Neodiprion lecontei: one gene and its partner. The protein of the gene in region 1 interacts with the protein of each later gene in a pairwise test. Links are inferred from orthologs where the notes say so. Each region holds a gene or a part of one and is shown on either strand. Other genes may lie near its edges.

What was found. The genes of interacting proteins can lie anywhere in the genome.
Region 2: the proteins of fasciculation and elongation protein zeta-2 (region 1) and short coiled-coil protein B interact in binary tests that used the Homo sapiens proteins (3 or more experiments, as listed by UniProt). The link is inferred for Neodiprion lecontei from reciprocal best matches to the Homo sapiens genes FEZ2 and SCOC.

What each region holds. Positions count from the first base shown.
Region 1 is NC_060265.1:20,723,428-20,728,435, forward strand, and holds the start of fasciculation and elongation protein zeta-2, read left to right. Parts: upstream 1-1,969; 5' UTR 1,970-2,147; coding exon 2,148-2,253; intron 2,254-5,008. UniProt on the Homo sapiens protein: Involved in axonal outgrowth and fasciculation.
Region 2 is NC_060266.1:18,747,915-18,755,376, forward strand, and holds short coiled-coil protein B, read left to right. Parts: upstream 1-2,018; 5' UTR 2,019-2,404; coding exon 2,405-2,483; intron 2,484-2,634; coding exon 2,635-2,754; intron 2,755-4,769; coding exon 4,770-4,856; intron 4,857-5,159; coding exon 5,160-5,302; 3' UTR 5,303-6,951; downstream 6,952-7,462. UniProt on the Homo sapiens protein: Positive regulator of amino acid starvation-induced autophagy.

The sequences.
Region 1 (5,008 bases):
CCTCATGTGGGTTGCAATATTATCCACATGCATTTTCAATTATGTGCACGTCAAAATCTTTCAGAAATTGTCAGAGTAAAGAAATTTTTCGTTTCAAGTTGTTCTGAAAATAATCTTGGAAGTATAGCCTTCTAAATATTCCTCAAAACCATACCTAAATATCACCTTTCCGTCGAAATACAGAAAACTAAATTCGCGCCATAGGAATTTAGCGCCTAATAGCTGCTGACTTAACATACGTACCGGTACGGCGGGTTTCTGAATATAGGCGCCATCTGCCTTGCAGCTCACCGCCGGTATAGTTCTTGTCTTACCGACAGATTTCTGACAAGTCGGCTGAGCATTACAATTTTCGGTCATTCATTTACGCTTCAGCTACATGCTGTTAGATAGAGTCGCTTATTGACTAGTTTACCGCGGTGACATTTCGGTATAACGTTGCCCCGCGATTATGATATAAACGATGCTTCCCTAATTTGGTTAAAACATAAATACAAGATGTTTCGGTAGGCGAGTCAATTATTCACGTAAATAATCCGATTAACTATTAAAAAGTGCTGATGGATAGTTCTCAGCATTCGATATCAATTTTTCGCCTCAATATGCACCCTATTCAATTATATTTCCACTCACGCAAAGCACAACTTTGGTTTAAATCAAGCTGGTAAAACCAGAAAAAATAGTTCTACTATATTGGGTGAAATTGTTTATTCATCAGAATTTAAACAATGACAGTTCTACGTATTGCGAAACGGAAAACTTCGCTAATTATAAGCGACGTTATTTACGAAACGCTGTTGCAATTTGCAAGGGTTCGAATATTTCATTTTTTGAAGTAATCGGTACATCGTAGTATAATTAACAAAATTATGCCCAATTAGCCTTCGCCTTGCGCGAACGCAATATTATGTCAGTGGTCTTCGTTCTTTAATACACTTATGCACTCTCTGTTTCTCTGCGGTATACTTATATAGAGCATAGGAAAAATATAACTGGTTTGTGTTACGCTAAGCTTTGCACGTGCAACAGCGAATGTGAAGATTTTTTAAATATTGATAAACGAAGCGGTGAATGCGAGTGGAATGGTGATAAAAGGTATAGTGTAATTTTATTTTTATAAGTAATCATTTTGAATTCACATCAAATGGTAAAAAAATCGGCCCCTTATAAAGCGAGAACTAACGTTTCAATTATAAGCGCCATAGGCAGAGCAATGAATTTATATTGGCTATTGTCTTACGTTTCATTACGTGCGCCATTCGGCGATTTAATGTAAAGGTAAACATCGTCGACAGTCATATTGCGCACGATTCAAACGAGAAAGTTTCAACCTCATTTTGAAGCGTTCTAATTATAATAATACGCATATAGAACCAGCTTTGCACGAATGAAACTCAACTCGGTGTTGACAAATGAAAAAACGAAAAATACCGTCATCAATTCTATATCTTTATTGGCCCCTCTGGGACTTTACAATTTCCCTGAATCTTAAACTCTTTTACGATCTATATTTTCAATTCTAACTTAACAGCTTTAATATTTCCAGTACCACAATGATTGACTAAACAAAAAAAGAAGATCATAAAATATTTTTAGCGAATAATATGACCGGAAAAAAACGAGAATATAAACACAAATAGAAATGAAAATGAAAAGAATACGTTGACCTGCTTGGGAAAATTAACCGGATACACAAAGATTTTTGCACGTGAAAAATGTAACGAGCACGGAAGAGAAGGGCGGGAATGTTGTCTCTTGATACCTTTCGAGGTAATCGTAAGAGTTGATGTCGGATCGAAAGATATCTACGTATAGGTATGTATAATCGGGTAATCTTTTCGCGGAGGAACAGGAGAGCGGTCGTCAGGGAGGCGATGAGAGCCCCTCCCGTTACTCGCGTCGTGTTTCTCCTGACGGTCGGCATGGTAACGTCGAATCATCTGCCCCCCACTCCTCGCTCCAACATTCTCTTCCCCTCCTTGATTCAGTCGCCCTCCGAACGTCGGAGGAGCAGGATTGATACGGTCGTCGCGTAGGCTTCTTCTCCTCGTCCCTGTGAAAAAAAATACAACCTTACTTCAAGCTGAAGTGATTGTGTCTCTACCGGTGGCTTATCTCCCTGTCCGAACTGTGCCAAGTGGTTTATCATGAGGGACATGGCTGGTAAAATGGCCGAATTAAAGTTTGAAGCACCCCTGGCTCGCTTCGAAGAGGAGGAGACGTCCAGCCTCAAGAATATCAACTTGCTGACAGGTGCGGAATGGTCAATTTTATTTTTTCTCTCCTGCCTCGACCCTTTTCATTCCCCCCCTCCCCCCTCCTCCGCGTGTAAAGCGGCTGCTGACTGAGCTGAGCGGGTATTTGTTATTGTTCGCACTTTGCGTTGTTGGTTTGTGCTGAAGAATGAACTCCGTTTCATATGAGGCGGTAAAAAATCTCCTCGCGATCGGCTTTTGTTTCTTTATTTCAATCGCTTGAAGCTAGCCGCGAATCGCTATCCCCTCGACATAACATTCCCCGAAATGGACCGAAGTATTTATGAACAGCGACGATGCTGGTAGCTGGAATGAGGAAAGAAAGAGTGGAGAGAATGTTGAAAAGGATATCTTTTCGTCGCGAGAAAAGGATAAACGCGGTAGGGATGCGCCAAGTGATTCGGGGTCGAGAAGGGCCGAGATTCGAGCACACATCCACCTTTCGGAAAACCTTTTTAAAACAAAGTATGATCGGTCCGTGCCGCAGGTGCCGGCAGGTTGGCAGCGGCTACCTTGAGGCGCGCGATTTCGGTGAATTTCTTTAACATTTTTACGTTATGGTTACCCGCAGATGTGATCAGGGAGAATTTTACCGAATTTAAATACGATCTTCTTACGTTTATTTGCTTACTTTGTTATTTTTATTGTTGGACGAATACCTCCGTGAACTGACGGAGAAAAGTAACTAGTAGACGTGAAGATTTCACGAGACTGAAGTTAGCAACGTTGGTTAACGTATGAAAAACAAAACATTGCAAAGAAAATCTGTGGTGTCTGATGAGAATGACTTGAAATAGTTTCATTGCGGCTTACATGCGAACTGAATTTCGGAGAATTTTAAAATTGCGAAATCGCAATTTTTCGTTATAGAAAACGCGACGTCACATTAAGGTTACGAATTCGACCGCCTCGTGAAGTTTTCTGAACACACCCGATGGACACAAATTTGGGAAACGTCGAAATCCTTGGGAAAGTTGGAAAAAAATATGGAGATCAAAGCGAGGAATTCATTTTAATAATAATAATGATATTTATTGCGTTAGTAGGACAATTCCTTCTTATACACATAAGACAAGCAAACAGAACGAACCAACGGTCGCAATGATAAGATGCGGAAATATACACATAGAAGAATAGCATGATAGATAGGAAAGTTGAAAATAGAATAATAAAGTAGAACTGAAGACAAAAATATAATACGAAATTAAAAATAAATAAAACGACAGTAAAATGAATAAGATGTGCAAAATAAATGAAGTAAATAATATTGGCAAAAGTACGAGTACAATAAATAAATGAAATAAATACTGTGTATAGCGTAGAAAATTAATTATCTAGAAATTAAAGACATCAAATTCATAATTGCATCAAAGTATTTTTTATTACTACATCAATTGCGGAAGAATACAGTTTCCACTTTTGCTTCTATATAAAAAAGAATCAGAGAATAACCTGTGATAAAATTTTCGTTCCAGATTTTGTCGATCCACACCCTGTCAACTGAAACTTTTTATGTGAAATAATTTGCGAAACTCCGAGGTTTCGAATTATCTTGTTATACATGACCTGCATCCATAGTCAACACCATCCACTTATCCGCTGCTTATCTTACAGCCACGTAAATTGAAAAAAATTTCATGTACACGATACACAAATTCTATGGTAATTTATTCGTCCACGTTTGTTAATCACTGCGTCCGCTTACATCGTGTCACCGCAACAGCTATTTTTCACTTCTTCACTACAAATAGAGCGAAATTATCGGTTATATATCTACACACACGTGTACACCTAGTTACACCAGCCCGATGAAGACAAAGAGATGAGTCGCCTTTTTGATTGTATGTACCGGACAGCTGAAAAATGAGGCAATTGAAGGGGGCGACTCATTCATTCCCCGCAGCAATTGCAGCAGCTGCAGCAGCAGCAGTAGCAACACCACTAGAAGCAGTTTAAAAAAGAATGAGAAAAATTTCGTTACAATTAACGGTACTTCGAAATTGCGAGCATGATCAAAAATAACAGTAACGCACGATAACTTTTCTAGCTACAGCTGAAAAACTAATTTTCATTTTCGTTTGGTTATGAATAAAAAAAAAAAAAAAAAAAAAAAAATAGGTAGATACTGTGCAGCAGTAACCTGCACACACCTACGAATATCTCTCGTCGTATGTCACACTAAAGTAAAACTAAAGAGCTTGACCTATTCATAGCCACTATTGTGGGTCACGGTGAGGAGAGCTGAAACTGGGGATGTAAATCTTATAGTATATCCGTTGAATACACGCGCCTGTGAATGGAACCGCGTATTTTTTCTCGGCCGCCTTCCCTCGGGTTATCGCCGCTTATCGCAGGGCAAACGACTACGCATCCTCTCCGGTAGTCTAGCGTGTAGATATAAGGTACGTACGTACTTACGCATGCTGCCTCTGCATGCAGGCTGCAGCTTAAATGCCGCCGCCGCCTGTTTGTGAGAACCGGACGGCGCGAGCCGAACACATTAACCTTTCGTTCCTGCTCCCGTTTAATCTACGCCTTTAGTGTCAACGCCTACTAATCGTCGTCGTAGCGATAAACCCTTCCTAATGTAAATCCCCAACTTGTCAGGCATGCCCTGCCGTTAAATATAATATAGAGATGAGATCAAGACTTCAATGAGAAGACAGATTCATTGAATTCGTGTGTAGAATATGTGTAATAATGCACGACGGTCAACGACGATTCCATCCATGCTCACCTAAAGTTTCACCTAA
Region 2 (7,462 bases), on another chromosome or scaffold:
GTGAGCCCACCACTTAAACGACATCGGTAAATTCAAACGTAGATTATTAGATCAGTCACGAAACACAATTCGATCTCGCGAATGTCGAGTAAGCGATGGGTACTTGTCGCGATTCTCATTCCACTTTTAGCAACGTGCAAAATTTCTAACTTTAAGCAGGCTACGGTAAATTAAAAGGCGAAAAACAAAATTATTCGCCAAAGTCAAGCACGTTGCGAACGTGAATGAGTATGTTCATGCAGCTAAGAAATCGAAGATTTGTGTAACAATTGTCACCGCCACGCCACGTGACAAGAGGAATCCCAGGAAAATACCCGTAACCTAACACATGCAAACTCACCAACGTTGCTGAGAAATGAAAAAGTTACTCCGAAGTCTCTGCTGTGAAAAACAAAATAGAACACTTGAATTAATACTGTAAATTGGCTTTCAGTTTTCAAATTAATAATTACTGTTGTCTAGTTTCATATATATGCATTGCATGTTATGCAAGAACAAAAGTTCGATTTTAAATGTACCACCTTGGATTATCAATCAATAATTAAAATAAGCATTGTTACCTCGACTCTGGGCTGCTCCACGCTTTTACACGTAGTATTTCTTGTAGCATCTCAGGGTTATTGGTGAAGCGACGCACTTTTTACACAATACAGATTTTCACTAATCTCTTACAATCCACAAAATCAGCACCGCAATAGCACTAGCACTCGATACTATACTCACTTTTTGGGCTGTAGCTGTCTGTTTGAACCGACTGAATAAACTTGCTAACAATGCAATTGCGCATTTACCGAAAATCAGCGAAAAAAATAATAAAATTGACACTCCACGCATAGAGACAAATATAGACATCACTGAAATCTGAAGTTACACAAAACAATGAAAATTCGTACACGAAATTCACCTTCAATGTTCGCACGATGTTTTTATTTCGATAACTCGGTTTTTCTTCAGGCTACACGCTGCTCCTCGTCTATTATTCACCGATGAGTATGGTGGAAATACACTGATCGAACAACGTGACACCACCTGAACAACGCGGTCTGAATGTTGAACCGATACTGACAGCACGCAATTTCGCTCCGACTGCTCGGAAACGACTGATGCTGCACGGCGCTCAGAGGAAACTTTAAATCAGTTCTCTGAAGAACGGAAGATAATAATTCTCCCGCCCTCTTTGTCGCTCTTCACATGGAGTGGGGGTAGCGGCACGCGCCTGCCTAGCTGTTTTTCTCCTCTGTAGAATTATTATCTGCTGTCCTTTAAAGAACCGATTCGAATCCGTTCACGGAACGCTTACACCGTTGCTTACGCTCTATTGTATATATCTGTATGGTCTCGGCGGCCGGTTGAAGACACCGCGTAAGCTACGCACAACGCGATCGAATGTTTAGAGCATTGCCGTAACAATATGCGTCGTCACTTCAAATGCGTATTTTACGAATCGACGCAGTGTGTTTAAAGCATAGACTTTTCAAGATAGACTGAGCGCTCTCATCAGCCACTTGAAGCAAACATTTAAAGGACAGAAATATGCCGGGAGTACTGCCTTCTCTCTCTGACGATATTTGTGGAGGGGATCGAGGCGGTAGAGGAGAATGCGGCGAAATTATGCGCCTATGTCCATAGCTGTTCGACTTCCACTGTTCCGTTGTCTCCCATCATGACACCGATTGTAGAGAGAGAGCAGTACTCCCGGTATATCTCTGTCCTTTATATGTAACTGTCAGTGCCTCTTGTGGGAGCGCTCAGTCTATCTTTATAAGTCTATAGTTTAAAGCACGGAGGTTTATAGGTTACGATCACCACCCTTTTTTTTTGTACATTTTATAGCGAGAGTTTCACTTTTTTCCCTAAAAGGCGCTCAAATCGCATGCAGACGATTCTTCTTAGTTCACCTCAAAACTGTGGACAAGTTTTATTGCAGAGTGTTGTCGCGATTGTCCCATTCCTACTACTCCGTGGTATACGTCTATTGTAGACCGAGCTGAAGATCGCCCATCTCAGTTCATCCTTTATTTTTATACAGCCATGAACCTCTTCCTGTCTTGTTTCACATTTCATGACTCATAGGATCGTCTGTCCCCGCTGCTGCCTGCCAATTTTCGTGTTTCCGAATAAATGGCGAACACTTTGATGTGCGGAAGTTGATTGACCGTAAAGTCAATATTAAATTAATGAAACCCGTTAAACGTTAATTACAAATACTCCCAGTAATTCGAGTGAAAATCAACTTCCAATCGGACATCGACGAAATAATAAACGAATAGTAAATCCCACTAAGTGACATTCCTAATAAGTAATAAATGCGTTGAATCAATACAGACGGACGTCAGAGAACAGCTCCACACTTATTACGAATCATCGTAAGCCCTGATAATTTAGCGAGAATATAATCCCGGCGATGTCTACGTCGATGATGTCCGGGGCAAAATTACAAGATGACATGAGTAGCATACCGTTGGCAGATGACGACCCTCAGGGTGGGTATTGCACATAAGAACATGCAAATGTCCACTGTGTGACCTACATAATCGAGAATAACATTTGTGCACGTATTTAATATCGTTCAATCGATTCCCCAACAATCTTTCATTGAATTATCCTATTTCAATTGGAGAATTTACTTTTTAGTCATCATTCCTGAGGAGGAAGCTCCCGACAACATGTCCCATGTTTCGGATGTTCTTGTACATGGTCGGAGCATGGACTCCATCCCTTCAACATTCACCAATGGCAGCAGCAGCCCTAACAGTAATACATCGTTATGTTTTTTTATCGAATGAATCATATAGTGCAATTGTTATCAACTTTTCCTGTACAGATATTAATTTTCTGTACTATTACACCATTTAAGATTCACAGAGTATTCATATGAACCTGAAGCTAGCAGCCAGAGTTGGTAGCCAAATGTATTGAACTTTTTGGAAATAGAATAATGCAGTTCAGTTTTAGCATCATAATTCTATTAAAGTATTCGGGATACGAGATATGTCTCAAAATTTTGATTTTCGGATTTCATTACCTTATTTAGATGAATGTTAGAACATTTGGCTGCTAATTCCAGCTGTTACTTTCAGCCTCGTGTTACCCAGTGCACAGATGAATGTTCTAAAATTTGAGAAAACTTACTATTAGTATGAAAATATCCTTTTGTCTTACTCACATTCTAGGGAATTTCTTAAATGACATTTCCTTACTTTTTAGTTTTAACTAAGTTGGAGTTTGATTCCTTATGTCGTGAAATCATTAATTATCATGCCCAGATTGTTACCAATAATCCTGCCAGTAAAATCGCCAAAAGTAGTTTTGATCACGTTTTTGCAGAATGTTACTGTAATTCGATTTTGAAGTAAAGGTCTTGATATTCTTACCCTTTTGGTTAATTTACCATTATCAAAGAAATGACAGCTCAAACTTTGACAAGAACTGTATTTCGGTGAGATATTTTTGTATAACAGTAAATTAACTGAAAGGGTAAATGAGCGAATTAATGCTTCCATTCAATTACCCTTTTAGTTAATTTACCATTATGAAAAAATATGTCACCGAAATGCAGTTCTTTTCAAAGTTCGAGTTTTAAATGTAAATGTTACTTTTCAAATGTGGTACAGGAGATAAAAATAAATAGTAATCCTGTAGCTTTAGGACGAGAAAACCGACATTTGTCTCTGAATTTTACCATTTGTACAAAATTCCTATCATAAAACATTCAGTAAATAATTGAATTTTCACTCAAGAACCCTTAAAAATATCAAAGAATTTATATCTGTTTTTCCTGATTGCAATTTCTATGTATTTGTATTTAAATCTTCGTACAATTAAGTTAATTCATTTTTGATGTATGTTAATTTACCCAGTGACTAAGATACTTTCTTTTATCTCACTGGATCAGTTGGTAATATTTCAAACGCTCCAAATTGTGAGAAGATGGTTCGTAATCTTTCCGTTACTGCCAATTATTACAAAACAGTGTTTTACAAGAGAATGAGTATTATTATCTAGATAAACACAGAATTATTCATATAAAAATTTATTTAGATAAGATGAAAGATAGTTTCTGATGCAACTATTTCCATACAGGATGAAATTTCCCAACTTTTATCTAGATAATCAAAAAGATGACTATATGAACAGGAGCTTCCTAATCTATTGAGAAAAGAGAATTGTTGATTTCATAATATATTTCTATGGGTGTGGTATAAAAAAATGTTGCTGCAAATAATTTTTTAGTCTTCTTTCTCAGTGATCGTAGATTACGAAGTTTTTTTTTTTTTTTTCAGAAAGACGTTTCCATTGACCTACATGTTTTTGCATAATAACATTAGAGTCTTGACTCCGAATAGTGTTGCCTTTGTTTCCATATAAACAGTTTAACTCATCGTTATATCATGCAAAAATGAAGATGAACAGTAAATTCATCTATATGAAAATGAAATATATGGTCAATCTATCTAAGCTGGTTATTTCAAATAAAATAATCCAGATAATGTACAAAAAATGATATCTTACTATGTACAATTAGTCAGTTTACCTTCAATAACTTTTATTTCTTTGTTTTCCTCGAATTAAAATGATTGTCATTGTCATTTGGCTTTGCAGGAATATAATTTTTGTAAGATATTGATTAATAATTAGATATCCACCTTAAAATTGTCCCGTAAAAAAGCTATAACTTTCATCTAAATTTTTATGAACGTCTTTTGTATCTGTTGATAAGATTTGCCTTTGCGTATTGTTTATATGTAGTTTATCTAAATTTTGCCTAGGCTTGGATCCAGACATTAGCCCAGATGAACAAGAAGAAAAAGCCAGATTGATTGCTCAGGTCTTGGAATTGCAGAATACTCTGGACGGTTCGTACTATTCCATAGATATCATTACTTCAGATTAATGCTTTCATTAGATTAACGTTTTGCTGAATATAAATCCTAATTGCATCATAATGCTCTTTAGAATATTTATTCAAAATATCATCGCGTAGTTCAATATTGGCTGTTGGTGTCTAAAAATCGTCCTGTACAACCACTCTTAAATTGAATACGCAGTGATTGTTCTGAAGAATAATTATGGAGGAAAAATAAATGGATTTACCTTAAGCAATATTAATTATACAAAATGGATTACATACATTCCAACGTGTTCAATTGTTTTTACAGATTTATCCCAAAGAGTAGACAGTGTCAAAGAAGAAAACTTGAAGTTGCGAAGTGAAAATCAGGTCCTTGGTCAGTATATTGAAAACTTGATGTCAGCTTCGAGCGTTTTTCAATCCACAAGTCCAAAATCGAAAAAGAAGTGAATTGTGTATAATTATTCCAACCATGAAAAAGAATTTTAATGCTATATTCGCTCCCCTGGGCCAGTACGTATAATTTGATTTTATATTTCAATGATATTTTCGGTCCAAAAGTGTACGTGAGACGTATGTATGCGTACACTAGCAAACTTTCATGTTACGCACAGTTCTAGCAGTTATAATTTCTATAGATCTGATTCTAGTGCATTTCCAAAAGACCATCACATTTGTAGTATGGCTTTATCATAGTACTCATAATATTATGAATAACTGACTGTACTCAGTTTAATAAGATAAATTTTGCCTTATCAATTATCGACATATTGTATGATTTTACTTTGCAAAGTTCGCACTATTTATTGTAAATATAAAAGCGAACGAAACAATTGTTGAGTGAGACAGGCTACATCTGTTTAATAAATGTTGACTTAGACTATTGAGTTTACTAGTCTGTTCATACTTTAGGAAAGGTGGTGAAATTGAACCAGCAAAGAAAGAGAAGGGAAAAGACCCCATTCATTAAATAAATTTATTTGCGATTCGATTTTCAGCATACATGTGGGTACATGTGTATGTGGTATATGTACTAATTTAATCTGCACATGACAGAAAATGTTTTAGTATTGCCATTATACAGGGCTGGAGCTTCAAGAATAACGTGCTTTTAACTTTGACACATTTATTATAAAAGAGTTTAATTCACACTTTATACATTTTTACCACAGTGTGCTTAAAAGCTTAAACACACACACACACACATATACATACATATATATAATATATATTTAATATTTCAATATATTGAAAAGCAAACTAATATTCACATAAATGATTCTACATTACGTACCTATATTGTGTTGGGCATTTAATATCACTTTTGGGCAAATAATTTAATCGTAATTTAGGTTGAGTGTATACAAACTGATAATGAAAAAGAGACAATGAAAATGTGAATATTATTCGGTCTCTCGACTTATTTGAACTGAGTGATATAGTTGTTAATTATAGCAACAGCAATACTTTTAAGTGGATCTATCAATTTCATTTATATTGTAAGATTCTGATTTTCAGACTATCATTTTCCATGTACGCCTGTTTTCTTGCCTTGTAACATATTAAATATATGATATTATTCGAGCATAATTTATGCGCAACCTTACATGACATAAGAGAGTCTATTACATACTGTAAATGTTTACTAGCATAGGTCAAACGTATAATTATATTCTTTTAGTGATAATATGAATAATCATCGCTCAGTTTCAAATGATGATAATTATCACATCATTTACGCATATTTTAATGACCAAAAAAGAGTGAAATAGATGAAAATCCTAAAGCTGTGTAGCAATTATCCAACGAAACAAAATCAAGGTTTTCAAATGGAGCTTTGCTTGATGGATTTCATGGCAGATTTTTCATCGCTGTATTATTTATGTAGATGTACAAAATATGAAAATCAATTATACCTATACAAAGTGACTTGAAATAATTGTTACATACCAAGTCACACGACAAATTAAAAGTCCATGTCACCAGCAGAGTATGCGAAAAGAAAAGAATTTTACATCAAACGAATACCCAGAAAAAGGAAGAAAAATGTTTAGCGATTGTAATGAAAACATCAGTGAATAAATTCGTTGCAAAAAATACCAAAGTTACTAGTTTATTAGAAAATTATTATTGCTGTCCTCAGGCCCAAAGTAATCATTCATTCCAGCATTCATCAATCTCATCATAGAATGGACTTTTCTATAAATTTTGATGAAAATGTGAAAATACATTGCTATGTGAACTCCATTTTGTTTCTTTTTTTTTTTTTTTCTCAATAAAATTTTTCAGATTGATAATTGACGGATTTTGGGTAAAAAAATGCGGTAACTGTTTAAAAATTAGTAGCTGTAACGATACACCCCTTAATATTAATATTAAGGGCTCAAACTTTCAGGATAATTTTTTTTAATGTTTTTACAGTAACATTAAAAAAAAAAATTCTTCGTTTTTTTTGGCCCAGTCTAATAGACACTCTATACTCCTTCCAAAGTAATTATACTTGTAGTTTACTATTGATCGTACAATAACATTTAAATTCATATGAGAATACCCGATATCAGATAGGTATACATATTACTAATTTTCGGTCTGTAAAATTAATTTTATATC